4 linked regions of the Macaca fascicularis genome follow. Each later gene encodes a partner of the first gene's protein in a complex. Links are inferred from orthologs where the notes say so. Each region holds a gene or a part of one and is shown in the gene's direction. Other genes may lie near its edges.

What was found.
Region 2: RBM10 (region 1) and MYSM1 share a complex: the UniProt entries of both Homo sapiens proteins name them as parts of the large chromatin remodeling complex. The link is inferred for Macaca fascicularis from reciprocal best matches to the Homo sapiens genes RBM10 and MYSM1.
Region 3: RBM10 (region 1) and KAT2B share a complex: the UniProt entries of both Homo sapiens proteins name them as parts of the large chromatin remodeling complex. The link is inferred for Macaca fascicularis from reciprocal best matches to the Homo sapiens genes RBM10 and KAT2B.
Region 4: RBM10 (region 1) and KIF11 share a complex: the UniProt entries of both Homo sapiens proteins name them as parts of the large chromatin remodeling complex. The link is inferred for Macaca fascicularis from reciprocal best matches to the Homo sapiens genes RBM10 and KIF11.

Annotation. Positions count from the first base shown.
Region 1 is NC_088395.1:47,272,170-47,279,896, forward strand, and holds part of RBM10 (RNA-binding protein 10), read left to right. Parts: intron 1-3,206; exon of another isoform or gene 3,207-3,247; intron 3,248-3,813; coding exon 3,814-3,997; intron 3,998-5,522; coding exon 5,523-5,753; intron 5,754-7,597; coding exon 7,598-7,667; intron 7,668-7,727. UniProt on the Homo sapiens protein: Binds to ssRNA containing the consensus sequence 5'-AGGUAA-3'. May be involved in post-transcriptional processing, most probably in mRNA splicing. Binds to RNA homopolymers, with a preference for poly(G) and poly(U) and little for poly(A).
Region 2 is NC_088375.1:176,028,825-176,036,551, forward strand, and holds part of MYSM1 (deubiquitinase MYSM1), read left to right. Parts: intron 1-1,436; coding exon 1,437-1,491; intron 1,492-1,784; coding exon 1,785-1,835; intron 1,836-1,900; exon of another isoform or gene 1,901-2,037; intron 2,038-2,541; coding exon 2,542-2,616; intron 2,617-3,230; coding exon 3,231-3,419; intron 3,420-4,836; coding exon 4,837-4,969; intron 4,970-6,902; exon of another isoform or gene 6,903-6,975; intron 6,976-7,727. UniProt on the Homo sapiens protein: Metalloprotease with deubiquitinase activity that plays important regulator roles in hematopoietic stem cell function, blood cell production and immune response.
Region 3 is NC_088376.1:28,387,321-28,395,678, reverse strand, and holds the start of KAT2B (histone acetyltransferase KAT2B), read left to right. Parts: upstream 1-3,842; 5' UTR 3,843-3,917; coding exon 3,918-4,220; intron 4,221-8,358. UniProt on the Homo sapiens protein: Functions as a histone acetyltransferase (HAT) to promote transcriptional activation. Has significant histone acetyltransferase activity with core histones (H3 and H4), and also with nucleosome core particles.
Region 4 is NC_088383.1:101,408,489-101,416,215, forward strand, and holds part of KIF11 (kinesin-like protein KIF11), read left to right. Parts: intron 1-374; coding exon 375-462; intron 463-2,064; coding exon 2,065-2,253; intron 2,254-3,977; coding exon 3,978-4,185; intron 4,186-5,141; coding exon 5,142-5,314; intron 5,315-7,727. UniProt on the Homo sapiens protein: Motor protein required for establishing a bipolar spindle and thus contributing to chromosome congression during mitosis. Required in non-mitotic cells for transport of secretory proteins from the Golgi complex to the cell surface.

The DNA of each region.
Region 1 (7,727 bases):
CAGGTGGATCACCTGAGGTCAGGAGTTCAAGACCAGCCTGACCAATATGGAGAAACCCTGTCCAGTGGTGGTGCAGGTCTGTAATCCCAGCTACTCGGGAGGCTGAGGCAGGAGAATCGCTTGAACCCGGGAGGTGGAGGTTGCGGTGAGCCGAGATTGCGCCATTGGACTCCAGCCTGGTCAACAAGAGTGAAACTTGTCTCAAACAAAAAAAAAAAGTCTGGGCGCAGTGGCTCACACCTGTAATCCCAGCACTTTGGGAGGCCAAGGCAGGTGGATCACCTGAAGTCAGGTGTTCGAGACCAGCCTGGCCAACATGGTGAAACCCCATCTCTACTAAAAATACAAAAATTAGCTAGGCATGGTGGCACACACGTGTAGTCCCAGCTACTCGGGAGGTTGAGGCACAAGAATTGCTTGAGGCCGGGCACAGTGGCTCACGCCTGTAATCCCATTATTTTGGGAGGCCGAGGCAGGCGGATCACGAGGTCAGGAGTTCGAGACCAGCCTGACCAACGTAGTGAAACCCTGTCTCTACTGAAAATACAAAAATTATCCGGGCGTGGTGGTACACGCCTATAGTCCTAGCTACTCGGGAGGCCGAGGCTGCAATGAGCCGAGATTGTGCCACTGCACTCCAGCCTGGACAACAGAGCAAAACTCGTCACCAAAAAAAAAAAAAGAATCGCTTGAACCTGGGAGGCAGAGGTTGCAGCGAACTGAGATTGTGCCACTGCACTCCAGCCTGGGTGACAGAGCAAGACTCCATCTCAAAAAAAAATAAAATAAAAGGATGGTTAAATGGTAAATGTATATTTTACCACAATAAAAAAAATCTAGAAAAAATATACAGAAATTAAAATTTTAAGTATATTTTAGGCCATGTGCAGTGGCTCATGTCTGTAATCTCAGCACTTTGGGAGACTGAGGCGAGAGGATCACTTTAGTCCAAAAGTTCAAGATCATGCTGGGCAACACAGTGAGATCCTGTATCTATAAAAAATTTGAAAATTAGCTGGATGTGGTGGTGCATTCCTGTAGTCCCAGCTAGTTGGGGCTGAGATGGGAGGATTGCTTAAGCCCAGGAGGTAGAGGCTACAGTAAGCTATAGTTGCACTACTGCACTCAGCCTGGGCAGCAGACCGAGACCTTGTCATAAGTAAAATAAAGTTTATTTTAAAACAGTCTATCCAATGTAGTTTTAATTATCATCTTTCTCTTGAGATGGAGTCTCACTCTGTCATTCAGGCTGGAGTGCAGTGGTACACTCATAGCTCACTGTAACCTAGAAGTCCTAGGCTCAAGCAGTCCTCTCGCCTCAGCCTCCTGAGTAGCTGGGATTATAGATGTGCACTACCATGCCCAACTAATACGTTGTGGTGGTGATTGATGGTGGTTTTGTAAAGACGGGATCTTGCTATGTTGTCCAGGCTGGTCTTGGCCTCAAGCGATCCATCCTCCCACTTTGGCCCTGCAAAGTGCTGGGATTACAGGATGAGCCATCTCACCTAGCAAAATTTTCATCTTTCATTGTAAGTGAGATAGAGCATGTTTTCAGATACACATAGTTTATATTTTTATCTGTGAATTCTGTTCACTTCCTTTCCCCATAGTTTTTCTTAGTTTATTGTCTTTTGACTTGGTTAATGATGTTTTTTGTTTTTCTGTTTTTCTGTCCAAGCAAAAGTATTTTATTTTTATGTAGTTGAATTTAGTAATCTTTTCTTCTGTGGCTTCTGGATTTGGATTATAGGTTTCCCCATTTCAAGATTATAAAGAAATTATTCAATTATTCTATATTTTCTTCTTTTACTTTTATGATTTCATTTCTTTCTTTGTTTTTTTTGTTTGTTTCTTTGTTTGTTTGTTTGTTTGTTTTAAAGACAGAGTCTTACTCTGTCATCCAGACTGGAGTTCAGTGGCTTGATCTTGGCTCACTGCCGCCTCTGCCTCCCGGGTTCAAGGGATTCTCCTGCCTCAGCCTCCCAAGTAGCTGGGATTACAGGCGCGTGTCACCACACCCGGCTAATTTTTGTATTTTTAGTAGAGATGGGGTTTCACCATGTTGGCCAGGCTGATCTCGAATTCCTGACCACAAGTGATCTGCCCACCTCAGCCTCCCAGAGTGCCGCCCACGCCTGGCCTGTGGTTTCATTTCTTATATTTAAATCTTTGATCTGTTTGAAATATATCCTGGTATATATGTGAAATATAGTCATAATATCTTGCACATGTCTAGGTATTTAACCTTTTTGATGAATTGTACTTGGGACCTTTCTATTTTCTAAACAGTGGTTACATTAATTTGTACCCAGCATCCTTACTGATTTATTATTTATAACAGTTTTTTCAGTTGATTCTCTTAGGCTTTGCAGGTATATTCTCTTATCATTTACAAATAATGGTAATTTTACCTTCTTCTTTCCAGCTTTTAACCTTTTTTCTTCCTTCCCTGTTTAATTGTTTTAGCTAGTGTCTTTAGAATAATGTTAAGAATGCTGTTGATAACGGACATTCTCATGTTGTTCCCAACCAGAATTGGAATCCTGTTAGTATAGTAGCATTCTTCTATGTCATCTAGTTTTTTCTATTTTAAGTAAACATATATTGGTTGCTTTTAGAATGCTTTTTTAGTCATTATTTGTTCAAAATAATTGTTGAGCGCCTACTGAGTGCTAGGGAATATGGCAGTGAGCCAAGGTCCCCTCATTTCCTGGAGCCCATATTCTAGTAATTTTTTAACTCATCAAAGAAACACAGATTAGGCCATGCACAGTGGTGGAGGCCTGTAATCCCAGCACTTTGAAGGCTGAGGTGGGTGGATCACTTAAGCCCAGGAATTTGAGACCAACCTGGCAATGTGGTAAAACCCCATCTCTACAAAAAATACAAAAATGAGCTGGGTGTGGTGGCACGTGCCTGTGGTCCCAGCTACTCAGGAGGCTGAGTTGGGAGGATGGCTTGAGTCTGGGAAGTTGAGGCTGCAGTGAGCCCTGATCATGCCACTGCCCTCCAGCCTGGGCACCAGTGCCAGATCCATTCTCAAAAAAAGAGAAAAGAAAAATGCAGATGAAATCAGCTTTGAGATAATTATTTTACAGTTATTGCGGTAGGAGAAATTTTAATGAAAGAGCTGCTAGTGTCGGCAAGGTGACAGTGAAGCAGAGGTAGGGGACGTGGTGCAAGACAGGGAGGAGGGCCCTCACCCTTGGGGATCCTGCAAACTGCATGGGACCTTGGTGAGCATTTTGGTGTTTGATCCTGAGACTGAGGGGGAACCACTGAAGGGACTGAGATGGGTTTGAGTGGCTTTGCCTTAGAGAGCACTCATATTTGGGATTTGGGATGTAGAGACTGAACTGGGGAGGTCCAGGTAGAAGTGAGGAGACCAGCCAGGCCACAACCAAGGTGCTCATGAGAGAAGCCAGCGGCATGGACCGGAGAGTGACATAGGACCAGAGAGAGGCGGGTTGCACTTCAGAGATGTGGAGTAGATATTTAGGAATCCCTGTTCAGGGGCAGGCCTGAGGGCTTCCAAAGAATAGAGTAGAGGGAGGGAAAATGAAAGTTTACAGGGGAGAAACCTGGCAGACACTGCCTTAACCAGATGACCAAGGTTAACATCACCAGAGCTAAGTCATGGTGGTAGCATGTACTTCCTTATCTGATAGGATCAGAAGGGCACCTCACTTCTGTTGTATGCTCCTCCAAAACAACGAAACCCTATAACCATGAGAACACATCACCTGGGCCTCTTGCACCTTTTAGAAAGGGCAACCTTCTGATCCCTCCCCATCCTTCTTCCTCCACTAGTGGTGGTCGTGGTGACAGGACTGGGCGCTATGGAGCCACTGACCGCTCGCAGGATGATGGTGGGGAGAACCGCAGCCGAGACCACGACTACCGGGACATGGACTACCGTTCATATCCCCGCGAGTACGGCAGCCAGGAGGGCAAGCACGACTATGACGACTCATCTGAGGAGCAGAGTGCGGAGGTGAGGAGGGGCGAGCTGCGCCAGGCCTGACTGGGATGGGCTCCCGAGAGCCCTCTGTGTCTGGCTGCAGCACCGTGTGCAGGCGGCTCTCCACTCCCATGCCTTCAGACTGTGCTCGGTGGCTTTGCCTCACCTGGAGGGCCTGTTCCCACTCCCCTCTCTGAGGGCTCCTCTCCCAACCTGGGTCTCCCTGGCTTCCACATGCTTGGCTCTGTACTTCTGAGGGCCCCTGGCCACCACTCTTTCCTTCTCCCTGTTGTTCAGTTCGGGCCCATGGCTCACTGTGAACCCTATACTGCCCACTCCCAGCCAACTTGAGCACTTGAAGAGCCTCTTCCGTGGGACCCGGCGTCTGGGGTTGGGAGGACAACCAGGGGAATGCAGACTACCAAGCTGAGGAGCTCTGGGAGGCCAGCCATGGACATTCCCAGTGGTGACAGAGCCCCTAGACAGAAGGGAAGGATACTTCTAGAAAAGCCAGTGCCATGTTGGGTAGTTCACCCTAGCCTAAGGGATGAGGCATGATGTTTACACCATCAGGAGCCCCTACCGGAGGGGAACAAACAGGCTTGCCTTAGGGGAATCCCAGTTGGAGGGGCAGTCAGGGCCCTGGTCCACACGAGCAGGCAGCTCTCCTGTCCAGCAGGCTGGGAAGGGTGTTCTTGCAAGCCCAGCCCTAGGGGGCAGGCTGTGAGCTGCCCACTGCCCTCTGGAGGGTCCAGGGCGAAAACTCCTTTGGTGGACTGCCTGGCTTCTCCAGTGGCAGCTGTCAAGCTGTACCCAGACGTCTCCAGGAGCACTGGGCCCTGGCCAGGGTAAGAATGGAGCACCAAGTTATCTGGCGCTTCCCCACTGTGGGTAGGAGGGCTTTGGCCCGAGGCCTGGTCTGCTTAGTCCTGGAATAGATGAATGGGCAACAACCCAGAGCCCAACAGCCATACCATTTTGAGCGTGGTGTGTGGTGGAGGACTGGCCAAGGCTGAGGATCAGGGACTGAGGAGGAAGTGTCTGCAGCCCTCACACCACCTCTACCAGCTCTTGCTGGCTGGCTCTGGCTGAGATCTGAAGCTGTTCTTATGCCCCTAGCTTAGTTGCAGGGTGGAACCATAGGAGACACACAGCCTTCGGTGGTACAGTGAGCAATTGAGCACACCCCCTGAGCTGGCCAGAGAGGAGGGGGAAATCAAGGGTGGGGTCTGGTGTGCTGACCCCAGGCCGTCTTGCCTCAAGGAGGTTTAAGCTGTGTTTTGTCAGCTACCTTTGAGAGATCCCCCCCAACACCAATACTGCCACCTACCTCTCCCCACCCCCTGAAGGCAGTCCCCAAAAGGACCCCATGGAGAATTTCCAGCCCCAGAAGGATTGCAGGCCAGGGCCTGCCCACCCTGCCTGCCTGAGCCTTTAGCCGGAGCCCGCACATCCCTGGCTTTCAGAGCCTGCCCGCCTCACAGAGCCAGCGGCCAGCTCCTAGGCCTGCCCAGACTGACTGCCCGTCTGGTGTCACTCATCTCATTCTGTCGGCCAGGATTCCTACGAGGCCTCCCCGGGCTCCGAGACTCAGCGTAGGCGGCGGCGGCGGCACAGGCACAGCCCCACCGGCCCGCCGGGCTTCCCCCGAGACGGCGACTATCGGGACCAGGACTATCGGACCGAGCAAGGGGAGGAGGATGAGGAGGAGGAGGATGAGGAGGAGGAGGAGAAGGCCAGTAACATCGTCATGCTGAGGATGCTGCCACAGGCAGCCACTGAGGATGACGTACGTGCCCCCCATGGCCCCGGGCAGGAGGCCAGGCTGGGTCTCCTCCAGGGCCCTCAACTTTTCCCCACCCCTCCCTCACCCGCAACCTCAGTGCCTTTCATCCCTTCTCCCCCTCCAGCTACTATCCCCCAGCACTGATCCGTCCTCTGTGGGCAGGTCCCATTGGCCCCCCGGTCTGGAGGGAGGAGTGTCAGAGAGGCCGGCTTGGCCAAGGGGCAGCGGCTGTGGGTATCCGGCAGTGGTGGGTTTGGGCGGGAGAAGAGCAGTCCTGCACATTCCACTGGTCGTCCAGCCATTTTGCATGTGTGCATCAAGGGCCAGATACTCACCGGGCCAGTGCTGGCTATTGCTGGTAGCAGAGATGACACTGGGGCCCTGCAACCATTGGGGGAGGGGTGGGATTTTCTGAAATTTCCTTCTCCTTTTTCCCCATCCTCTTTTGTCAGCAGCCTGGCCTGGCCTCAGAGCCTTGGGTGGCTGTTAACAGCCTCCCCGCCTGCCTCCCTTTCCTCGCGTTTCCTTTTCATACATACTTCTCATGACAGCCACACTGAAGCCCCATGAGGCCTACCAGAATAACTTCCAAGAATAGTCTCCCTGATCCTGGTCCTTCTTAGTCCACTCTGCCGCCCCTCACCCCCCACCCCCATGAATTCTCTGAAATTCCCTCACCCCCTAGCCCTCCTCTGAAATCTGCTAGCTGCTCATTTTGTAGCAGAGAAAATCCCACTTGTGTATTTGAGGGTTTCTAAGGTCTGGCCCACCTGCCCTGTCCAGGGTCAGACAGTAGCTGGTTGCTGACATTTGTTGAGAATGTATCTCAGGATGGGCCATGTGTTAGGTGTGATTCAGTCCCCATGGCATCCCAACAGGGAAGGTACTGAGTGGGAATGTGACTTGCCTGAGGTCTTACAGCCAGTGAATGGTGGAGTGGAGCTGGAGTCTGAACCCAGGCAGCTGGACCCCAGAGCGCACTTTTTGCTGCTTCCTCAGCCTTCCCTGAGTTTGGAGTCCTGATAAGCTCTTCTGTGTGTTTTTCCTTTTCATCCTGTGTATGGGTGTGTGTAAGTCTAATCTCCTGTCTTGTTTAACCTGGTGGGGAAACTGAGGCCCAGAGACATGAAGACTCCTTCCCAAGAATGGTTGGCATAGGCTCCTGGTCCTCTGTGAGAGACCTCACTGGCCTAGAGACCCTGCCTCACCTGTTCCAAATCCTGAATTGCCTCTGCAGTCTCGCTCTGGCCTACTCCATCCAGGAAGCAATCCCCAGGACTATATCTTTTTGCTTTTTGTCTCCACCCTAAGTTATTGCTGCAGTCATGGTCTAGGGTACATGGCTAGGATTTGCTCAGACTCCTGTCCTCCCCAGTTTGGCATTTATGTCATGGATCTCTTTTGACGCAAGCTGCAGGTCAGCGGGGCAGGGGCGGGGGCATGGGTTATCCCCTTGCCAAGGGCAAGAATTACTTCCCAGGTTTCCTTACTTCATGGCTGCCACGGAGCCCTTTGTCAGATCACCCTGCCCACCGTTCTTAAATGGCTGGCTCACTTGCTTTCTTGTTCTCTGTGTCCCTGAGGGTCGTCCTGCTGCCATGCTTTACCTTGCTCTGTGCCCATTTCTTCATTTGATTCACTTTCTGCAAGTCTGGGGCTGAAAGTCAAGACTGTGAACTGGTGTGGGCCTGGGACTGTTGTCACTCAGGGAAAAGCTGCGAAAGAGGCAGAGGAGACTGTGTGCACATCACGGATGACCCCTTGGGATCCAGAGGCCTCCAGCCAGCCTCAGGTACCCAGCGGCCCCATTGTGCTGAGCCTGCCCCACTCTGTATCTCCCCATATAGATCCGTGGCCAGCTGCAGTCCCACGGCGTGCAAGCACGGGAGGTTCGGCTGATGCGGAACAAATCTTCAGGTGAGCTTTTGTTCCCAGTGCCCTCCCCTTCCAGTGGCCAGCCTCAGCCTCGGAATCTCC
Region 2 (7,727 bases), on another chromosome or scaffold:
TTCTAGAATTTTACTACTATTCAACATCTAATTCGTCCTTTTCTGCAGTCTGCTTTTTTGTATTGTGAAACAAGCTCAATAATTGTCCATTTCTAGTCCTTCAATAACTTTCCCATTCTCTGCAGTTCCTCAACAAACATTGACAGCGGTTCCATATCCGTGGTTCTTAAGTACTCCAGGATGTTCTTTCTGTGCTATTTTCTCATCTATCTTGGCCTTCAGTTTCTTTTTTGTTGATTAAACACTTTCTAATTTAAAGGTCTTTCTTTATCCAACAAGTATCTTTGAATGTCTACAGTATATGTCAGGCACGGTTCTGATCACTTGGGATACATTATTAAGCAAAACAAAATGTTCTCTTGAAGCTAACCATCTGTGGTTGAATGAGAACGGAATTGCCCTGCTCTCTTCCAGTTGTGTTAATGCGAATGTATTCCTGTGTGTTTTTCTTTCCCTGAAGATAGCCTAAAAAACCTTTTTATTGTTCTTAATATAGTTTTCAAGCCTCAATTCTTTACTCGTCAAAGACTTTCTGATATTTCTCAGATTTATGTGTGCTTTTGACTTCGCTTAGGTTCTCCCTTTTTCACCTCTTTTTACTTTTTCACTTCTTGTTTTTTGGAGACAGGGTCTCACCCTGTCACCAAGGCTAGAGTGGAGTAGAGTGGAATGGTGAAATCATGGCTCACTGCAGCCTCCACCTCCTGGGCTTAAGTGATCCTCTCACCTCAGCCTCCCGAGTGGCTGGGACTATAGGCACACGCCACCATGCTCAGCTAATTTTTAAATTTTTTTGTAGAGATGGGGTTTCACCATGTTGTCCAGGCTGGTTGTGAACTCCTAGGCTCAAGGAGTCCACCCACCTCGGCCTCCCGAAATATTGGGATTACAGATGTCAGCCACAGCACCTGGCCACTTTTTCACTTTAATACAAGAGTTTATCATAGGACTAATACATTAATATCTTTACCAGAACCGTTTGTCATTCATTCATTCAAAAAAAGTTTTAAGTTCCTACTCTATTGTTGGCACATTATTGAACTGACAAGTGTTTTTGATAAACTTCCATCTTTCTTGAACTTTTTTGGGGGTCTCATAACAGATAATTATATTTTCATTGAACTTTTTGAAATCTCCTTTTAGTGTGGGACATATGTCTGATAGTTTATAGTGTCCTCTTTGAGTGTAATAGGAAATTAAGACAATGGAGTAACTTTATCTCAAAGTTCTTGGGTTTTTTTTTTGTTCTTGTTAAATCTAAAAGAACAGTGCTTCTTTCAAAAGGGTTTATGGAATCTCCTACAAAACTCTCCTAGTTTAATATTTTTCTCATTTAGACAGAATTTGGGTTCAGATTATTGATATACACTTTCAAATTTGCAAATGTTATTTTCCTAATCTTGTTGATATTGAAAATAATTTTTTTTCTTTTTCAGCTCATTTGATCCCTTCCAACTGATACCTTGTAATTTTTTTAGTGAAGAAAAGCAGGTACTATTTATGCATTAATGAATGACCCTAGACAATCCCCGCTTCCCCCTGTCAAACAGGAAATACTTACTCTTTTTCCATATGTGCAAGGCATGACTGAATCTGAGAGACAATTTCTCCCTGCTGGGGTTTTAAATCATAATGTTTTTTAAAAATCTAGTTTGTGCTGAGCTTTGGTTAGTGCTGAGAACTTGGTGGGGTGGATGAAGGAGAACAGGGTGGGCATTCCAGGTGGGGAGAACAAAATCTCTGTTTTTATGGTCCCCCGTTTTGTTTTGTTTTTTATATTTCAGGAGCCATTTCAGGTGAAAGTGGCTTCAGAAGCACTTTTAATAATGGATTTGGTAAGGATAATCTATTGTGTTTACTTAGTTATTCTGATTTCTACTCTTGTGTATTTTTATTGCAGGCGTAAGACAGAGTATGGAAGACGTGTATTTTGGATCTTAACTATCCTCTTTTACAAGGAATCTAAAAATAAGTCTTTTCTTTTGGAGAAAAGCCAAACAATTGCATGTTTCCATATTTTAGAGAAAATAAATTAATGTGAGTTTTTGCAGACTGTTTACCATCATTAACCCTACTTTAATTTTCTAATATCTGTGTCTGCCACCTTTTAGATCACTGAAACAAAGTACAACTCCTGTAATTTGGAGGGTTTTTTTGTTTATACTAAACTACCAGTACCTCCAACAGTTTTTGTGTTTGTGATGTCTTTGTGTAGAAGGATTTAGAGTGATTTTTACTTTGTATCCTTACATAGTACCTTCCTTGAATAGGAAGAGTGTATCTTCATTTTGCAATTGCAAAAGTAGAGTCTGAGAATTTTTAAGTGTTTGGTTGAAAGCTTCTCAGCCAGCAGTGAAGATAGACCTGAAATAGTTTCTGTGCACTGATCCTAGCATCTAGTTCCTCTCCTATGCTACTTTATTTTATAAAAGCATGATGACTGTACTTACAAATGACTTTCTTACAATAAGTGAGTTTTGTTATTTTTTTTGTCAGGTGGGTTTGTGCGTTTGGGCTAAGTCTGTCTTGTATTTTTTTTAGCATGCTCATGTTTCTATGGCAGAAGTGATTGGTCTGTTAGGAGGAAGATACTCAGAAGTTGATAAAGTAGTTGAAGTAAGTTCTCTCTTTTAAAAAATGTTTTAGTTATTTAGTCCTACTACCATACCAAATATTTTTATAGAATTCAGTGAATATAATTAAAATATATACTTTACCTATGATATATATGAGAATATGCAAATGTAGCAAGTTATCTATTCCCAGGAGTAACTTAACATTCCATATGCCGAGCACCTTTTCCTTTTTACCACCAAGAGAGAACATTGCCAGGCCTTGGGTCCTCATTACCTTTATTAGCAAAAAACTACAACTTTTAAGAGGCCAGAAATATGTACTAACACTTGTAGTTGAAAGTTTGTATGCATCATTCTGTTGAAATTGTTGTCATAAGTAACAGGAGTCATTGAAAGAATACCTTTGTACGGGTATTATGTGGGCTGACCTGGAAAACTAACCATTATTATGACCTTGTTTGAGTAGAAAAATGCATGCTAAGTTCCTAGCATATAATCAGACTTTTGGAGTATAAGTCATTTGCAAGTTAAAGGCGCCTATGATATTGTCAAATAAAAGTCTTGGCCTTGAAAAGTTTCTGTATCTCTGAAAGAATTAGAGTAATAGAATTAACAGGATTTTAGTATAATCATTTGAGGATCAATCGTTTATAGGTCTGTGCAGCAGAACCATGTAACAGTCTGAGTACAGGACTACAGTGTGAGATGGATCCTGTATCACAAACACAGGCCTCAGAAACCTTGGCTGTTAGAGGCTACAGTGTTATTGGATGGTATCATTCTCATCCTGCTTTTGATCCTAATCCTTCCTTACGAGATATTGACACACAAGCTAAATACCAGGTATTACCTGTATATTTATATTCTGTAAATGGTTGCACACCCCCTCAGTGCTCCCTTTTAAATAGATAAACTTTAAACATTTTTTGTATTTCATTTCTAATTTTCTTTATAATGGGGGTTTTATCTATTTATTTTTCTTTTTGTTTTTTTGTGTTTTTTTTGAGACAGAGTTTCACTCTTGTTGCCCAAGCTGAAGTGCAATGGTGCAATCTCGGCTCACTGCAACCTCTGCCTCCCAGGTTCAAGCAATTCTTGTGTCTCAGCCTCCCAAGTAGCTGGGATTACAGGCATGTGCCACCACACCCAGCTAATTTTTTGTATTTTTAGTACAAATGGGGTTTCACCATGTTAGCCACGCTCGTCTCAAACTCCTGACCTCGGGTGATCTGCCCGCCTCGGCCTCCCAAAGTGCCGAGATTATAGGCATAAGCCACCACACCCAACCAAAAAAAGAAAAAATTATGTATACTGGGGGTTTTAAAAGAACATACATTTTTTTTTTTCTGATTGAGAGATTGATAATTGTTTATGTAAACATTTAGAAAGTCAGTTATTTTATTAAGTACAGACAAGCCATGAATGTTACAGTGATAAATACTCCCAGAGCCTTTAAAAATTGATGGGAACAACTAGGACAGGTACTAAATATAACTGAAATAATAAGAGACATAATGTATTTTTTAATAGCTGGAGAAAAAGTTTTATTTTAATCTGGGATTTTACATTTGATATGTGACTGGGTTTGCTGTAGGGTATTTGTAAATTATTACTGTGTTGATAAGAATTACAGATGCAGGGTGGTGAATATAATTAGTGAATATATTCATGGCAAATACAGATTGTGTAGGCCATTTTTTTATTTTTAAGGGTCATTTTGGATTTGGTTGAACACATTTTTGCCTGAAAAATGTACAATGTGAAATGAATATTTAAGGCATTTGATTTAGTTTCAGTTGGGATGTGAACTTTTTTTGTTGTTTTTTTTTTAGAGACAGAGTCTTCTTACTCTGTCACCCAGACTGGAGTGCAGGTGGTGCGATCTCGACTCACTGCAACCTCCACCTCCCAGGTTTAAGGGATTCTCCTGCCTCAGCCTTCTGAGTACCTGGGGTTACAGGAATGTGCCACCACACCCAGCTAATTTTTGTATTTTTAGGAGAGATGAGGTTTCACCATGTTGGCCAGGCTGGTCTCAAGCCTGATCAGGCTGACCTGACCTCAGGCAATCCACCTGCCTCAGTCTCCCAAAGTTCTGGGATTACAGGCGTGAGCCACCGCTCTGGGCCAGATGTGAACTTTTTAATGCACCTTTTTGTTCCTGCTTTTCCTCATTAGATGTTTAAAATGTTAGTATGGATAAATATTGGCTTTTGAGTTTATGCAGTTGAAACTAATTATATTTTTCTTGTAATTGTAGAGCTACTTCTCCAGAGGAGGTGCAAAGTTCATTGGAATGATTGTTAGTCCCTATAATCGAAATAATCCCTTACCATATTCTCAGATTACCTGCCTGGTTATAAGTGAGGAAATTAGCGCAGATGGCTCTTACCGTAAGTTTTCAACAAAAATAACTTTATCCTATTTCTGCTCTCATTTATTTGACTCATACAAATCAAAAGATTTGCAACTGTGCAAAAGTATTTAATGCAAGAGTTTGTGCCCTCAACTAGGGAATCATTATTTGGGTGCCACCCTAGTGCAGCCACCCTCTTCCCTTTCTTAATCTCCTGCTATATTCAAGTCCCCACTTTTGTTACCATGGCCACTGGGCAAAAGGATTGAAATATGGGGAAAAGTTATGGCCAGGCAGTGTGTATGCTAGGCACTGGAGATACTGCAGTAAACAAAACAGTCTCTGTTCTCATGAAAATTTTTTTATAAATGCAGACTGGCTTTCTCTGTGATGGTATGCAAATGAAAAAAAAAATGACCACCAACTCCCTGTCACTTCCCAGTTTAGGGGTTAACAATGACTAACTCAATTTGTATATTTCGTTGCTCCCATTGTATCTCAGGAAAGAATTTGATTGGCATAGACCATCATTTGACTTGATTCCTCCGAGGTTTATGTCCACTTGTAGTCCAGTCATTTCTGGGTGGATAGGGAATTAGTATAGCAGACTAGGAAAAGGAAGGGAGTGTGGCTAGAAAGCAAATAATCAGAGGAAACAATAGGCTAAATAACTCTAGGATATTCTGTCATTACTACCACTGCTCTAGGTCAGGTCCCCTGGACGCTGCCACTACAGTTACCCCACATTGTACTCTTTCCCATTAGATCATGAGATCTTTGAGAATAAATACTGTATTGTACCCATTTTTCTATCCAGTTTCTAGCACAAGGCCTGGCATAAAGTAGATACTAAATGAATGAATGTTTAATAATTAATTTCTCTTCATTCTTAATGATCTCACTTGGATGCCTTATATTTTATAAAGACTTACCAGCACTGCCCCTATGTTATTTAGTATTAGTTGCTCTATTTTTTATGTATCTGCAACACTTTATTCCTCCCTTCATGGTCACTTTGTCTTTTAATGCAATTTATCTATTTAGCAAGTCCTAAACAAATTGTATGCCCGAAGAGCAGGGACTATGTCTTATTTGTCTTTTTCTCCAGTAGCACCTAATAAATTGCTTTGCATCTAGGAGGTGGTCAACACTATGTGGGTTTTTATTGAGTTAATAATATTGGCATTAACTTTAGTCTGGAATGTCCATTTTGAGCATAGCACGTAATACATAATACTCTTAAGCTCAGTACAGTTTTATAAAAAGAATCGCAATTGTTCTCTCTTTAATCATTTTATAATCTCACAGACTGCTAGGTTTTGATAATGAACCTCAATTCTGGTGGTGTCCAATACAATAGCAGTACATGTGACTTTAAATGTATGTTGATTAGAATTACATGAAACTTAAAATTTAATTCATGGAATTCTACTCTGGCCAAATGAAGTAACAAGAACTTGTCTGAAACTACCAAAACACTGGACAAAGTATATAAAATAATGGTATTTAAACACAACGTTGAGCAGCAAAGGAATGCAGTTGCTAAGATATGGGAAACAAATGAAAAGAGCCCGAAATTACCCTAGCTTACTGTTTAAGAGGGTTTTCAGATATGGCACAAGAAGGAGAAACCCACCCAGAGTCAGGCAGACTCAGTTAAGGTGATGGAGATAAGGAGACCAAGACAGCTGAGTTTGTGAGACAGCGCCCCAAGAGAACAGAAAACAGAATGGAGAGTGAACTCTGGAGATTTGTAGAAGGGTATCCCTGGAGTATTTGGCAAAATACAGATCAGCACATGCATGTGAAGAAACTAGCCCAGATGGGAAAGAACCACTTGAAAGCATTAGAGGGAACTATCCATGATGCTCCCGTGAGCTACCATTGGACACAGCTGTCTTGTAAATGACTTGTCCACGCTTAACGCTGCATATTAGATCTTAATCCTGGGTCTTTTGCTTTGCCCTTAGAAATCCTCTGGTGCAAGAATTAAGGTTTTCTAGAAGCCATGGGATACCTTGTGCTACAGTACTTTTAACTCAGGTCATATCTTTATAATATCTCTAATGGTTTAATGTTTTCTTTACTTGTGACAGGGAGGAAATATATTTAGTGATTAGTTTTCTTATATTTTAGTGGATAAAAATATTCTCTATAAAAGGAAACTTTTATTGACTTTAAAAGTACCTTTTTTTAAATTAAAAAATATTCTAAAAATACCAAATAGACCTGTATATGATTTGTGTGTGTGTTTTCATGTTTTTGCATCAGCATAGATTGGAAATGCATTATTTACCTTTCTTTATTTTCATTTTCAACTTTCACTGAGAGCAGGAGTCACTCTACTGGAATCAGATCCCAGCTCTGACATTTATTGCTTATTTTACCTTGGGCAGTTTACTCTCTCATTCTCCTTTGCCACATCTGTAAAATGAGAAAAAATTACTACCTTGCTTACAGTAGGTATATGGTTGTAAGGTGTGTCAGTAATATATGTAAAGTGCTTAGAAATAATAAGTTTTCAATGGATAGTTATGATTATATAGCTGGTATCCGTATTTAGTAAGTAATCAAAGCATGTCAAGTAAGTGATCGTTATCACCAAAAGGAGTTTGCTTAGTACTCCACGTACTATAATGTGTCACTCTTTAAGTTTTTGGAGAAGAGGAAAATTGAGCAATTAAATAAAAAAGATCAGTCATCATCATCAGGCTTGCTGTCCGCTGTCCTTCTTCTAAACACCTGAAAAAATACCTTTTTAGAGCATATTGACAGTTAAGCTATGCTTTATTTCA
Region 3 (8,358 bases), on another chromosome or scaffold:
ACATGGTGAAATCCTGTCTCTACTAAAAATATAAAAAATTATCTGGGTGTGATGGTGGGCACCTGTAATTCCAGCTACTCGGGAGGCTGAGGCAGGAGAATCACTTGAACCCAGGAGGTGGAGGTTGCAGCGAGCTGAGATAGCGCCACTGCACTCCAGCCAGGGCAAAAGAGGGAGACTACGTCTCAAAAAAAAAAAAAAAAAAAAAAGAGCACTAATGGTATTTGGGACATGGTTAAGATTCACACTGGAAATGATGATTTAATTTATAAATGCTTGAAAACTAGGGAAGGGGATTTTATGTTTCCCCATCCTAGGATTCATTTTATTATTATTTTCAATACTTTTTTCCTAGGAGGATTTATTTTATTTAATTTAAAATAAATGTTCAGTAATTATAGCCACTTCCCTCAGAGGAAGGTTGGCCCAAGGGGCCCCACTGAGACATTGACCTCACGTCTCTTTATTTCACACTCATATCCAACTGCTGTTTCTAAAAGCAGGTGGCTGGGAAGAATGTCAGTCATGGGCCATGTGCTGGGTCAAACCTGCACTTTGACTTTTGACCACTTGATCTGTACCTTTAGCGTCTGTGCCTTTACTGGGGACAATTTCAATCCATCTGTGGGATCCAGGGTTACTGGTACATTACAGAAGCTGTGTAGCCTTGGTAGGAAGCAATATGGCAAGAAACTCTGCTAGATGATATAACAATAGATGACCACAAAACTTGCCTTTCTTAGGAAGGCATCTTGGAGCAAGGAATACCAGATGAACAGGGCTAGCCATGCTGTTTGGTGGAGGGTATCCGCATAGTACAGCAAATGCAAAGGCCCTGAGGTAGGAAAGCGTTTCCTGAGTTTGGCTGAAGTATACTGCAGCACCAGGGAGAATGGGAAGGGGTGGACCTTGTCAACTTCTTGTTATATAATATCATGTTGTGAAGTTGAAATTTTATTTTATTGCTATGCACCTTTTAAAATCTTTTCATTACTTTTGAATTTCCCATGCCTTTATTGAACATATACAAAATTGTGCTTATATGTCAGTGTGAGTTTGTTTTTAACATAACTGCTGCACTGAGATTTATTCAACAGTGTTTCTTAGAGATCTATGTTATTATATTTTTATAAAGGTCATTCTGTATAACAGCTATAAAATATTCTATTGTGTGAATATACCACAAGTAACCTCCAGTGGTCAGCCTGCCTCTACTATGCCCACTCTCCAGGCTTTTATTTCCTGAATGTAGCTTCTTTACCTCAGTAAGTGGTAAACACTTTGTAAATGAAAACATTGCCTTTTATTTTCTTGGTAGTCATTTCTTAAAAGTACTGTGTGCACAGAAAGAGCATATTGAATGCTTACAACAACCTAGTTATGGAAAAGCAATAAGCCTCCTGAATCCTTTGCCCTTGAAATTTCCTTGCCTGGTGCTCATAACACACTTTGAATAGGTCTTGAAACTGCGGGCCTTCAGCCTAAGGCAGTATGTCATCTGGGTACTCTGAGCAGGGAAATAATGAAAAATAATGTTCAGTTAATGGCACAAGCCATTCGCCACACAGACAGTGATGGTTTTCAGAGTGGATTGAAAGGAGAATGGCTAATTCTGCTTCAAAACATCCTGGAAATTGTCTGCCTCCTGAATTCTGAGGGACGCTTGGGAGGAGGAGGTGATAGGTGACTTAATGTTAAATCCGGGTTCCCTCCCCCAATATGTTACTGTGAAAATTTTCAAACATACAGAAAAGTTGAAAGAATTGCGCAGTGTGCCCATTACCTAGACTCTACTATTATATGGTCCCCTATTTGCTTTATCGTATCTCTGTTCATCCACCCTTTACCCATGCATAGAGGCATCCATACATCTTATTTTTGACGCATCTCAAAGTACAAAGAGCACCATTAAATAGAGTTCAATGCTTGTAATTCTTTTCTTTTTTAAAAAAATTTTGAGGCAACATTTACATCCAGTGAAATGTACAAATCTCAAGTGGACCATTCCATCAGTTTGACAAACGCCTACAAGGTAGAACCCAAGCTCTTATTAGTATTTGTTAAATCCATGTTAGAGTTTGATCAGAGAAGCACAGCCTTTAAGACTCTCACCCTGCTTTGAGGAGAATGGCAAAAATCTGCGAAATTTCTCAGCAGAGTCAGGAGAGAGTAACACTGGTAACGTGAAGCACGTCAAGCTAAGAAAGGAAGCACTGAAGTTAATTGTCCTGAACGGAACCTGATAAGAATCTGCCATTTCATCCCCTCAAGACTGGACTCAAGTTGGGAGAGAATATTGCCTTTTGCCCTGTCTAAACTAATATCACTGTTTAGATCTACAAAGTCCCCCACCTTCCCATGTTTATGTATTACACTGCATTACAAGTCAAAATAACACAGAGAATCTGGAAAAAGGAGAAGGGGAATGTTTCCAACGAAAAGCACACCCCTTAAGGCGTCTGGCCTGAGAGCTATATAGCATGCATAAAATCTGATAATAAGCACATTATGACCCACATTGCATATAACAAAAAGTAGGGCACTTCTGAAGGGTCCTGAGAAACAGCCCTGGACTTTTAAAACCTGCTTTAAGAAGGCGATCAACCGTACGCCACTTTCAAACGCAGCACTGACATGTATGCTCCACAGTCATCAACAGAGAAAACAACAGTTTTCAACAAGAGTTGAAAACTGAGTTGAGGGTTTTTTTTTTTTTTTTTTTTTTTTTTTAAGTTTGAGGCCAAAATCGGTATTTATTCTTTTGAATGATGCTTATATCTTTTTCCTGGTTAATATGCACGCTGGTGGTACAATTTTGAAAACTACGTAACGTGATAGAACCACCACCCAGAAACGAGTCCTGTTAACAAACTTTTTGTATTCAAACTTTTTCCACTGCACATAGTTTTTATTTTGACAATGCTTTTAGACAATCGTTCTTTTAGCAACCAGCACTTTCAAACAAAAAGTACAGGGAATAGTAAGTTTTTTCCCCCTCCTCTGGCAGATTTGACCCACAAATTGCTATAGGAAGAAAGTGTTAATTATATTAAAACATAGTTTGACAGAAAGTATTTAAAAAGAGAAAGGGAAAACATCACGCTTTTATTTTGGTGAATTAGCAACAAAGAAAAGGATTAGCATGGACGGGTACTTTTCAAAAATATTTTTTTTTTCCTCTGGCTCCCGCTAGGGTGGAGGAAGTTGTCTCTGCTCAGAGACAGGGTGGAAGAGAGTGGAAGGACAAATGACTGAGAGGCGGCCCCCTCCCACTGGTGCGGGCGTGCGGGGGTCGGATGGGGGGCCGCGGAGGGGGGAGGTGGCCAGCAGGTGCCTGGGCTCCAGTCCCCTACCCCCACCCTCGTCCCCACCCTCACCCACACCCAGGGATTGGCCTCGCCCCCTGGCGGGCGAGCAGTAGGTGTCGAGGCACTGGGGTGGGGGGTGCAAACCCCGCGGGCAGCGGAAAAGAAGCCGTGGGGGGCCTCCCGGCCCCGGCACACACTGCGAGGCTGGCACCCGCCCGCACGCACACCCAGTCCGCAGCCCCGAGGAACATGTCCGCAGCCAGGGCGCGGAGCAGAGTCCCGGGCAGGATAACCAAGGAAGGGCGTGTGCTGTGGCGGCGGTGGCAGCGGCAGCGGCAGCGGCAGCGGAGCCGCTAGTCCCCTCCCTCCTGGGGGAGCAGCTGCCGCCGCCGCCGCCGCCGCCACCATCAGCTCGCGGGGCCCGGCCGGAGCTAGCCCGGCGAGCGGCGCGCGAGGGGGAGGGCGGGGGCGGGGAGGGGGGTGGGCGAAGGGGGCGGGAGGGCGTGGGGGGAGGGTCTCGCTCTCCCGACGACCAGAGCCCGAGAGGGAGACCCTGGCGGCGGCGGCGGCGCCTGACACTCGGCGCCTCCTGCCGTGCTCCGGGGCGGCATGTCCGAGGCTGGCGGGGCCGGGCCGGGCGGCTGCGGGGCAGGAGCCGGGGCAGGGGCCGGGCCCGGGGCGCTGCCCCCGCAGCCCGTGGTGCTGCCGCCCGCGCCCCCGCAGGGCTCCCCCTGCGCCGCTGCTGCCGGGGGCTCGGGCGCCTGCGGTCCGGCAACGGCAGTGGCTGCAGCGGGCACGGCCGAAGGACCGGGAGGCGGTGGCTCGGCCCGAATCGCCGTGAAGAAGGCGCAACTACGCTCCGCTCCGCGGGCCAAGAAACTGGAGAAACTCGGAGTGTACTCCGCCTGCAAGGTACGCGCTCGCCGTTCTCGGACCGCGGATGGGTGCTAGGGGCCCAGCCCGCGGGACCCCCCTCCCCCTCCCGCTTCCACCTCCGCCTCCCGCCTTCTGCCTTCTGCCTCTCGCCTCCCGCCTCCCGCCTGGGGCCGCTGCACCGCGGAAGTGCTCTTGTCGCCCGAGCCCAATTAGCTTCTTCTTGGATAAGAGTCCTGCTGGGTTTGAAGAAGGGGATCACTAAGACGGAGAGCCCTTCATTCCTTCCGCTTGAAAGGAGTAGCTTCGGAATCCGAGCTCCCGGGCTACTCTGGGGTTTTGTTGCTCTGTAGGAGCTCGCTGGAGTCACTTTCGCGGGAGTGGAGCGGTGCTCTCCATGTGGTGGGCGACCCAGGGGCAGGGAAACATCTTTTGGGGGACTGAGTGGTCCCTTCTGCAGTCCATCCCTTCCCGTGTCCCACTGGGAGGAACTGGGTGCAAGGAGTCGGGGTGGAGAAGACTCCCGGACTCCTGGCGCTTTGGGAAAGCGAAGGGGAGGAAAGCGCGGGGTGCGAAGGTGGGCAGAGCCCGAGGCGAGGGTCTTGTGGCGCCTGACGCCCTCGGCTGGGGGCGGAGGCGCTGCCGCGCGCAGTGACAGCCCTGTCATTATTGTATTATTACTTGTTTAGTTAAAACGCTGTCCCAGCTGCTCGAGGTGTAAACAGGATTTGGCAAGGTGACAGCCCAGCGCCGCGGACGCTACTGCTTGGTTTGAGGACACCCATTTCTTGCTACCCACTCTCCGTGCCAGTTTAGGCACCCTGTCATCCCCAGCTGCAGATCCAGATGTGGGGGCCGTGCTCCCGAGGTGGGAGGATTGCCCGAGGCCGCGGGGCAGGCTGGCCCTGCGCTGTCAGCAGCGGCTTTGTTTTGACAGGGTGACAGCTGAGGGGGGCGGGGACTTGGCCTTGTCAGCTCCTGCGGCCTGTGGCAGAGGCAGGGAAGAGACACACTCACACACACTCACACACCTCCCTGTATTCTTCCTGCCTGCTGCAAAGAGGGTCAAGTTCCCAGATTCCGGATTCCCAATTCCCACAACCAAGCTGCAGTGGCCACTTCTGAATTTTGATATAACTATTATTTATTCTACTGGAACATCTGGGTTATACTCTTCTTAGTACTTACAGGAGCTTCTTAGTCACAATGGAATGTCTGTGCTTGCTCTTTTTCCACACCGTATCCTCATGTTTATGTTGAGCACCTCTGTATCCTATACTGGTTCGATAAATATTTGTTGAGTGAATGTGGGATCTAGCCCAGTGCTCCTCAAACTTTCATGTGCATGGGAATCTCCTGGGGAAGCTGGTTAAAATGCTGATTCTGAATCAGGTGGTCTGAGGTGGAAGCTAAGAGTTTGCATTTCTGACGAACTCCCAAGTGGCACTACGCTAGTCCACAGACCACATTCCAATTCAGACCTGGACAGTATATTATTTGTCCCCGTTGAATTTAGCAGAAAAGACAGAAACAAATAATAATGCCGTGTGGTTATTTCTGAAGAAGGAATGCAAAAAAGATGAAGTGGGGAGTGTGCTTTTTGAAAGGTGCAAGCCCAGGAGTTGATCATGAAGGGCATTAGATGAATGAGAACAGGCCACTGACTGTAGTAGGCAGAAGGGAGAGCTAGGTACAGAATTAAGAACAAGGTCGTGAGTTCAGGGCATACTGCTTGGGTGATGGATACACCAAAATCTCACAGATCACCACTCAAGAATTTATGTAATCAAACACCACCTGTTCCCCCAAAACCTATGAAAAAAAAAAAGCAAGGTCAATTACTTGGTGGCCTTGGCGTTTTGCAGCCAAAGTGGGCTCATGCAGGAACTGTGTCAACTCAGTGTTTCTGTCCTGGCTTTATTTTAACATTTGTTTATTGGGTTATCATTACCAGCACCTCTTAAAGACTTCCTGCTGCCTGCTGTAGCTTTAATATCTGAAAACTTTCCTGAAGTTTTGGTTTTGTCTAAAACCATGAGCATATGTGGCCTGCATTGATGTTTTTGATCTTTTCAAATTTCCATGGGTGAGATGTAGCACCACTTCCAAAGTTTGAGATTTGAGTGTTTTCTGGTCACTTTCATGACCAAACAAGAGAAATAGAAAATTTATTTTAAGGCCTTTTTTTTTTTTTTTTTTTTTGAAACAGGATCTCACACTGCCTGCAGGCTGGAGTGCAGTGGCATGATTGTAGCTCACTGCAGACTCAATCTCCCTGGGCTCAGGTGATCCTCCTACATCAGCCTCCTGACTAGCTGGGGCTACAGGCATGCACCAGTACACTATTATTATTATTTTTTGTATTCTTTGTAGAGACAGGGTTTCACCTTGTTGCCCAGGCTGTTCTCGAACTCCTGAGCCCAAGCACTTTGCCCGCCTTGGCTTCCCAAAGTGCTGGGATTATAGGCATGAGACACCATGCCCGGCTGAAAGTGTTCATTTTTATGTGTCCATTCATTCAGTAAATATTTGGAGGGTTACCAACTGGGTGTCAGGCATTGTGCTAGGTGCTGGGCCTATGACACACAGAATTTGTCCTTCAGGAGTTACTTACTGTGTGTGTGCACAAGTGCATGTGTGTGCATGCATGTGTTGGGGCCTAGGGAGGAGGGCAGTGAACCAGAATTACAGAGAAGTTCAGAAAAACTACTTTCTTGGAGTACTTGCGGACCCAGAGCAGGACAATTCATAGACTGGGGCACTGGTAGGGTGGGATTGCCTTCCTGGAGGAAGTGTCAGTGGCTGCTAAGAACTCCTGGCAGGGCAGAGTGGGGTGGGGTGAAGCTTCTTGTAGTGGAGAAACTGAAAGCAGTTCTGGAAGCTTGGAGGTGGGCCAACTCCAGCCAGACCTTTGTTGCCTAGGGCCACCTGGTTGGGGGTGAGGGGTACGTGGCCAAGAGGGCACTGAGGAGTGCAGGAATCTTAACCTGGGGAGTGACACTATCTCAGATTTGCTTTAAAAAAAAAAAAAATTAACTGGGCTCGATTGGATAATAGGGAGGGTAAGAGAGCAGAATCTGTGGTTCTCTCTTGGCTTGTTTCTGCACTTACTATGAGCAAGCCCGAAAGGACAGATTGCTCTACCTTTGCCACAGGCCCCTTGGCAAGTTAGATTAGAGAGATTAGAGAATGAGGAGGGATCTAGAAAGAGATAAGGTAGTTTGCTGGGGGGCTTTTGAAAGAAAAACAGGTCCCAGGCCTGATATAAATCTGGCCTTTAAACTTCACAAACAAAACCAAAAAAGAAGGGAGCTAACTCAGCCAGGGTGATGTGCCACACCCCAGAGAAAAGAAAAAGGAAAAAAAAAAAAAAAAAAAAAAACAAAACAAAAGAAAGAAAGAAAAAGAAAAGAAACAAACAAACTTGTTTTGCAGGATCCAGATCTTTGAACTGTGTCCTGGTAAAGGTTGCTTCAGAGTCATTTTGCTTATGTGTGGCACAGCCAGAGTGATCATTAAAAATGTAGATCTAGGCCAGGCGCAGTGGCTCATACCTGTAATCCCAGCACTTTAGGAGGCTGAGGCGGGAGGATCACTTGAGTCCAGGAGTTTGAGGCCAGCCTGGGTAATATAGTGAGACTTCGTCTCTACAAAAAATAAAAAATTAGCCAGGAGTGGTGGCAGAGGTTGCAGTGAGCTGTGATTGCGCCACTGTACTCCAGCCTGGGTGACTGAGCGAGATTCTGTCTCAAAAAAAAAAAAAAAAAAAAAAAAAAAGTAGATCTGACCATGTTATACCCCAATTTCAGGCCCTATAATTTCTCTTTATTGTGGTCCAGAAGGCCCTGCATGGCCCGGCTACTGCTGTCTGTGGCTCCTTTTCAAGGCTTCAGGCACATGGTTTCCTTTCACCTAGTAAGGGGTGAGGTGGGGTGAGGGGCTTTGCACATGCTGTTCCCTGGGACTGGAAGCTCTTCTTTCCACACTTGAAAATTAGCTCCCAACTCTTCCTACAGAACTCAGATTCCTTGCCTTTCCTTTACCCTCCTGAGCAGCCTTCCCATTAGAAATTATCCAAATTCATCTGTACTCTTTCTGGTGCTTTTCTTATGATTTTTATGATTTGTACGATTATTTGATATGCATTTCGAATCTTAGATTCTTAGTGATGCGGTTA
Region 4 (7,727 bases), on another chromosome or scaffold:
GGTTGTATTCCCTTTTCTCTCTACTTTGAGTTACAGTCAGTCCTCTGTTAGCTTTCTAGCTTCTCAAATTGGGTACACACATACTTTTCCCCTCATAGGTAGGGATTCTTAGTTTCAGAATTTAGGGCAAGGGAAAAATATTTCATTTATAAAACAAAGACAAGGAATATAATTTGTTCTTTGTAATTTGTATTTATTGCTTATTGACACTTAGGTATTAAGTGACACTTGGGTATCAGGTGACACTTGGGTATCAAGTCATGGTGATAAATGTTGGAAATGAGTTTGTGTAGCTGTCACAATTGTGTTGGAATACATTTTGTAGGAGTTAGAAAAAATATTAACTGTTAAACTCATATTAAACTTTATTTTAGAGTCATGAGTGGAAAATTAACTGTTCAAGAAGAGCAGATTGTAGAATTGATTGAAAAAATTGGTGCTGTTGAGGAGGAGCTGAATAGGGTAAGCATTTAAAATGATATTTACTGTTATGTGAAAAGCAAATATTGAAAGAAAATTTTAGAAGGTGAAAGACCTAATATTTTTTCCTTCAATATATGTATATATATATTTTTTAGATGGAGTCTCGCTCTGTCACCCAGGCTGGAGTGCAGTGGTGTGATCTCAGCTCACTGTAACCTCTGCTGCCTGGGGTCAAGCGATTCTCCTGCCTCAGCCTCCCAAGTAGCTGAGATTACAGGCGTGTGCCACCATGCCCGGCTAATTTTTTTGTATTTTTAGTAGAGACAGGGTTTCACCATGCTGGCCAGGCTGGTCTTGAACTCCTGACCTCATGATCCACCCATCTCGGCCTCCCAAAATGCTCGGATTACAGGCATGAGCTACCGCACCCAGCTCCTTCTTTAAGATTTTATTTAAAAAAAAAAAAAAAAAAAGATTTTATTTTGCTGACCCTTATACTGAAAGTAAGTTATATCATGATTTTTTACTATCATCAATCACATAAAAAAAGCTGACAGCTTATATTAATGAAACATTACAAAAAATTAACTGAATTGTTTGATTTTGTTATTAAAACTACAAAATAGTGAATGCTGAAGCATTTTTGTTAACATGTTTATCAGATGAAGGAACACAGATATTGGGAGAGACTGGATATTAAAGAAAAGTAATATAACTAGGGTAGGCAAGAGGCCTGACCTTTCAGGCCACTCTCATATTAATACCTTTATTTATTAATAATAATAATTATTATTATTTTTGAGACAGAGTCTCACTGTGTCACCCAGGCTGGAGTGTGGCGTGATCTTGGCTCACTGCAAGCTCCGCCTCCCGGGTTCACGCCATTCTCCTGCCACAGCCTCCCGACTAGCTGGGACTACAGGCACCCGCCACCGCGCCCGGCTAATTTTTTGTATTTTTAGTAGAGACAGGGTTTCACCGTGTTAGCCAGGATGGTCTCTATCTCCTGACCTCGTGATCCACCCGCCTCGGCCTTCCAAAGTGCTGGGATTACAGGCATGAGCCACCATGCCTGGCCATTTTAAATTATTTTTTAGAGACAGGGTCTTGCTCTGATGCCCAGGCTACAGTGCAGTGGCGTAATCATATCTTACTGCAGCCTCAAACTTCTGGTCTCAAGCAACTCTCCTGCCTCAGCCTCCTGAGTAGCTGGACTTCAGGCATGCACCACCATACCTGGCTAATTATTTTATTTTTTTGTAGAGATGGAGTCTTGCTATGTTGCCTAGGCTGGTCTCAAACTCTGGGGCTCAAGTGATCCTCCTGCCTTGGCCTCCCAAAGTGCTGGAATTACAGGCGTGAATCACCTTGCCGGGCCACATTAACACTGTTTTATTCAAATTCAATGGCAATGTTGAAGGAACCTGAAGAATTAATAGTACTACCCCAAACCTATTATTTAATCTCAAAGAGTTGAGTAAGATTGCAGAAAGAAACCGGATGACATGTTTGTGTTAATCTACTGGGTAACTTGTTACAGCTTTTGCATGGAAATAATTTGTTTCATTTTTCTAATCTTATGAACTAGCCAGATATCCTACCAACCAGATCAGCATTTTTTAATTTCTACATTATATTTAGGTTACAGAGTTGTTTATGGATAATAAAAATGAACTTGACCAGTGTAAATCTGACCTGCAAAATAAAACACAAGAACTTGAAACCACTCAGAAACATTTGCAAGAAACTAAATTACAACTTGTTAAAGAAGAATATATCACATCAGCTTTGGAAAGTACTGAGGAGAAACTTCATGATGCTGCCAGCAAGGTTTGTCCCTTGTATTGATTTATACTCATATTAAATAGAGAATGGGTAGAAATAATGTCTGTGCTTAAGCATTAATTATGATATTCTGTTTATTCACCCAAAATGGTATTTCTGTCCATTTAAAAAACATTATTTTACTATTTCATCCATATCTTTCTTAGTGGAGATGTTGACTTATGAAAAAACTACTCCTGCTCCTGGAGTTTGGAAAATAGAACATAACTTAGCCAGGCGTGGTGGCTTACGCCTGTAATCCCAGGACTTTGGGAGGCCGAGGCGGGCGGATGACCTGAGGTCAGGTGTTCGAGACCAGCCTGACCAACATGGAGAAACCCGTCTCTACTAAAAATACAAAATTAGCTGGGCGTGATCGCGCCATTGCACTCCAGCCTGGGCAACAAGAACAAAACTCTGTCTCAAAAAAAAAAAAAAAAAAGAAAATAGAACATAACTTTATAATATGTTTTGTAGACATTTAGAATGTGATGTTGTGATGCTTTTTCTTTGTGGGGATGATTGAACCTAATTAGTCATTAAGAATTGAGTATGTTCTGGCCGGGCACAATATCTCACGCCTATAATCCCAGCACTTTGGGAGGCTGAGGTGGGTGGATTGCTTGAGGTTAGGAGTTCGAGACCAGCCTGACCAACATGGTAAAACCCCATCTCTACTAAAAAAAATACAAAAATTAGCCAGGCATGGTGGCACATGCCTATAATCCCATCTACTCAGGAGGCTGAGGCAAGAGAATTGCTTGAACCCAGGAGGCAGAGGTTGCAATGAGCCGAGATCATGCCACTGCACTCCAGCCTGGGTAACAGAGCAAGACTCTGTCTCAAAAAGAAAAAAAAAAGAATTTAGTATGTTCTAATGATGAAAGATGTTGAAGGTATTTAATTTTTTATTAGTTGTACTTTTTTTTTGAGACAGACTCTTGCTTTGTCGCCTAGGCTGGAGTGCAGTGACATCATCTCAGCTCACTGTAACCTTTGCCTCCCGGGTTCAAGCGATTCTCCTGCCTCAGCCTCCCAAGTAGCTGGGATTACAAGTGCCTGCCACCACACCCAGCTAATTTTGAATTTTATTAGAGACGGGGTTTCACCATGTTGGCCAGGTTGGTCTCAAACTCCTGACCTCAGGTGATCTGCCTGCCTAGGCCTCCCAAAATGTTGGGATTACAGGTGTGAGCCACCACCCCCGGCCATTAGGTGTACTTTTGAGGAAATAGTAGAACATAGAAGGGAAAAAATTTCTGAGGAGGCATGATTATTGCAATAACTGACAAAATCAGTTTTCCTTGCTTGCGTAGATGGCTACAGGAAGGGAAATAAAAATTACTGGGCATCTGGATAAATTAGCATAAGTTAAAGCATTTCTTCTGATACAATGTCTAAAATTTACTAGTTTTTTTTTTTTTTTTGAGACAGAGTCTCTCTGTCTGTCGCCCGGCCTGGAGTGACAGTGGCACAATCTTGGCTCACTGCAACCTCCACCTCTCAGGTTCAAGCAATTCTTCTGCCTCAGCCTCCTGAGTAGCTGGAACTGCAAGTGTGTACCACCACGCCTGGCTAATTTTTGTATTTTTAGTAGAGACGAGATTTCACCATGTTGGTCAGGCTGGAAAATTTACTAGTTCTTATCAAGATAAATCCTTATGTAGATACTTTCATTAGATTCCTTTCGTCATATCCATTTTGTCTAACACTTATTTTTTAAAATACAGCTGCTTAACACAGTTGAAGAAACTACAAAAGATGTATCTGATCTCCATTCCAAACTGGATCGTAAGAAGGCAGTTGACCAACACAATGCAGAAGCTCAGGATATTTTTGGCAAAAACCTGAATAGTCTATTTAATAATATGGAGGAATTAATTAAGGATGGCAGCTCAAAACAAAAGGCCATGCTAGAAGTACATAAGACCTTATTTGGTAAGTTCAGGCTGTTCTGTTCTAGTCTTGATGTGTTAAGTGTGATGTTGATTTCAAAACTGATAATTTAATTTTGTGAAACATAGATGACAGTGTCACCAATACTCTCTACAATGCACAAACTATTTGTTCAGGCTGCTGATTAATGCTTTACTGTCTCTGAATTAAAACAAATCTTTTTCCCTCCCCACCCTCCCTTCTGTTTTCTATAAATTGTTACATTTATTAAGTAACTAAGTATATAAACGTTAGAAGTCCTCTTTTTCCCTGACTCTGGCTCCTGTCCCTGGGTCATTCACCATAGGTGTTATTGTTAAATTTCTTGGGCCTTTTTCTAGAAATTTTCTGTGCATAAACATTCTGCAACTTTTTATTGGGGGGGGCATGTATATCTTGATGATTTGCTATATTGTCAGAATATGTTTGTGTCTCATTGTTTTTAACTATTCTATTATCTCCCTTTAGAAAAAAGTATGTTTATTTAGTGTGAAATACTATCTTCATTATGGAAAATTTGGACATCTAGAAATATAAAAATTTAAAAAATCATCTAGACTCTAGTCTCATTAAGCCAAGCACAATCAATACATTTTGGTATTGATTTCCAGTTTTTCTTTTCTTCTGTAAACTTACCATAATTCTGTATATTATTTTTAGTTAGAGATTAATTATAGAATATTCTAATTCTTTGTGCACTATGAATTATGGGTCTGATACACTTACAAATATGTTAAGGGCTTACAGAGCACTATAGAAAATATGTAATGTATATTTAAATATTTCCTTGCTTATGTAGTGAGCCAGTTCTTTTAAGCTCATTATTACAAATTCTACAAGGGTATACTTTTGCCAACTTCTCTGAAATGGTTTGAACTGTATTTAATATATATATATGTGTATATCAAATATATTTATGTCAAAGTTTACATCTTTCTGTTTTTTTCTGTTTGTTCTAGGTAATCTGCTGTCTTCCAGTGTCTCTGCGTTAGATACCATTACTACAGTAGCACTTGGATCTCTCACATCTATTCCAGAAAATGTGTCTACTCGTGTTTCTCAGATTTTTAATATGATACTAAAAGAACAATCATTAGCAGCAGAAAGTAAAACTGTACTACAGGAACGGATTGTTAGTATATCTTTTAAAATATTTTTGAAGGATTACATTTGATAAGTATTTGATAAAATATTTTGAAGGGTTACATTTGATAAATCTTAATAAACAATGTTAACTGCTATTCTTTCATCTTAAGCTTTGCTAGACACAGTCATAGACACGTCACTGTGAGAGTACATATATATATATTTTTTTTTCTTTCTTTTTTTTTTTTTTGAGACGGAGTCTTGCTCTGTCGCCCAGGAGTGCAGTGGCACCATCTCGGCTCACTGCAAGCTCCGCCTCCCAGGTTCATGCCATTCTCCTGCCTCAGCCTCCCGAGTAGCTGGGACTACAGGTGCCCGCCACCACGCCTGGCTAATTTTTTGTATTTTTAGTAGAGACGGGGTTTCACTGTGTTAGCCAGGATGATCTCGATCGCCTGACCTCGTGATCCGCCCACCTTAGCCTCCCAAAGTGCTGGGATTATAGGCGTGAGCCACCGTGCCCAGCCAGCGTCTCATTTTCTTTATTTTTATGTATTTTTTTTTTTTAGCCTCTCCTTTTCTCAGTTCACTGCAACCTCTGCCTCCTGGGTTCAAGTGATTCTCTTGCCTCAGCCTCCTGAGTAGATGGGATTATAGGCATGTGCCAACATGCCTGGCTAATTTTTGTTTTTGTTTTTTTTTTAGTAGAGATGGGGTTTTACCATGTTGGTCCGGCTGGTCTCGAACTCCTAACCTCAAGCAATCCACCCACCTCAGCCTCCCAAAGTGCTGGGATTATAGGCGTGAGTCACCGTGCCCGGCCGAGAGTACGTCTATATTTTAAAAGACAGATCTCTCCACTGTTTATTCTCTCCCAGAAAGATTATTTTCAAATGTATGGAACTAACTTTTGAAACTTTTTTCACTCATGTCTTGTAACATTAGGAATAGGAGTTATTAGTGAGGCTTTTAATGACTAAAGGGCAAGTTTAGCACCACATGATAGCAAGGGATTTGTTAGTTGGCCCAGAAATTGGTAAGTCCCTCTTTCCTCAGGGGTCCTGGACCCAACCAGAAGGGGATATTGGGTAGTTAATTTTAAAACTACAGTAATATATGATAGTAATAGTGCAAGAAAAGTATGTTTAAGAATTCTGGGAACACATAACAATTCTTAGGGTTAGATCTGTGTGGCTGTGCCCTTCTGGGCCATAACTGTAAATCTTTTCTCCACAGTTCTATGGAAGTCACTTATCTAATTGCACTTCATATTACCTCCTTCATACTTGATTTATATAGTCTTTATTTTAAAATTGTATGGTTGGTCTAGGAAGTTCTTAGCCATATAATTTGTTTTCTGTGTGCAGGGTCTTTGCCTCCCTTTTTCAGTTTAACAATATTTATTAAACATTTCCAAGTAAATACTACAAATGTTAGCTGACCCTCTGCCTCAATTCATTGCTTAGATGACATTATTTGATAGGTTTTCTCAATCACCCAAATTTGACAGTGTTAAAAGATACCCTGTCAGTACTAACTTTTCAAATATTGATTCATTCATTAAATGGTCTCTATATATACAAGCATACTTCAAAGATGTTGCAGGTTTGCTTCCAGACTACTGCAATAAAGTGAATATTACAATAAAGCAAGTCATGAATTTTTTGGTTTCCCAGTGCATATAAAGGTTATGTTGACCAGGCGCAGTGGCTCACGCCTGTAATTCCAGCAGCAGCCTGGTGGGACAATCAGAACACAAACAACGTTTATCAATTACGTTTGCTGTCTTACAGGGGTACAGTTTACGGTACCCCAAGACAATTATAATAGTAACATCAAAGATCATTGATCACAGTGTGTAATGAAAAAGTTTGAAATACTGCAGTAGTTACCAAAATGTGATGCAGAGACAGAAAGTGAGCACATGATATTTGAAAAAAGTCACTGATAGACTTGCTCAAGGTAGGGTTGCCACAAACCTTCAATTTGTAAAAATTTGGTATCTGTGATGCATAGTAAGGTGAAGCACAATAAAATAAGCTATGCCTGAATTGATATATTTCTACTTACCAAGTTACGATTTTTGCTTGACTTAAAAGAAAAGAGGAATGTTGCTGTCATAAAATTAGTTGAAATTGATATGCTAGCTCTTCTTTCCAAAAGAATGCCAGTAGGCCTATAAGTATTTACTAATGTATTTCTGTTATACTTCCTCAGCCCTATCCTACCAAAAGAGCTTAGATCAGGACTTTTTTTCTTTTTATAAATATTTCCAATCTATACTACATTCTTAATTTTTCCCATTTCTTGACAAGAACAACATCTTTCACAAGTTCTTCTGATACAATAGGATATAAGTCATCTCAGATCTTCAAAGTTAAATACTTCTAGCCCAAGGGCTAATCTTGATGACTACTTGGTCTCAGCCTTTTTGACTGGTAACCTAAACTTGTTTGAAA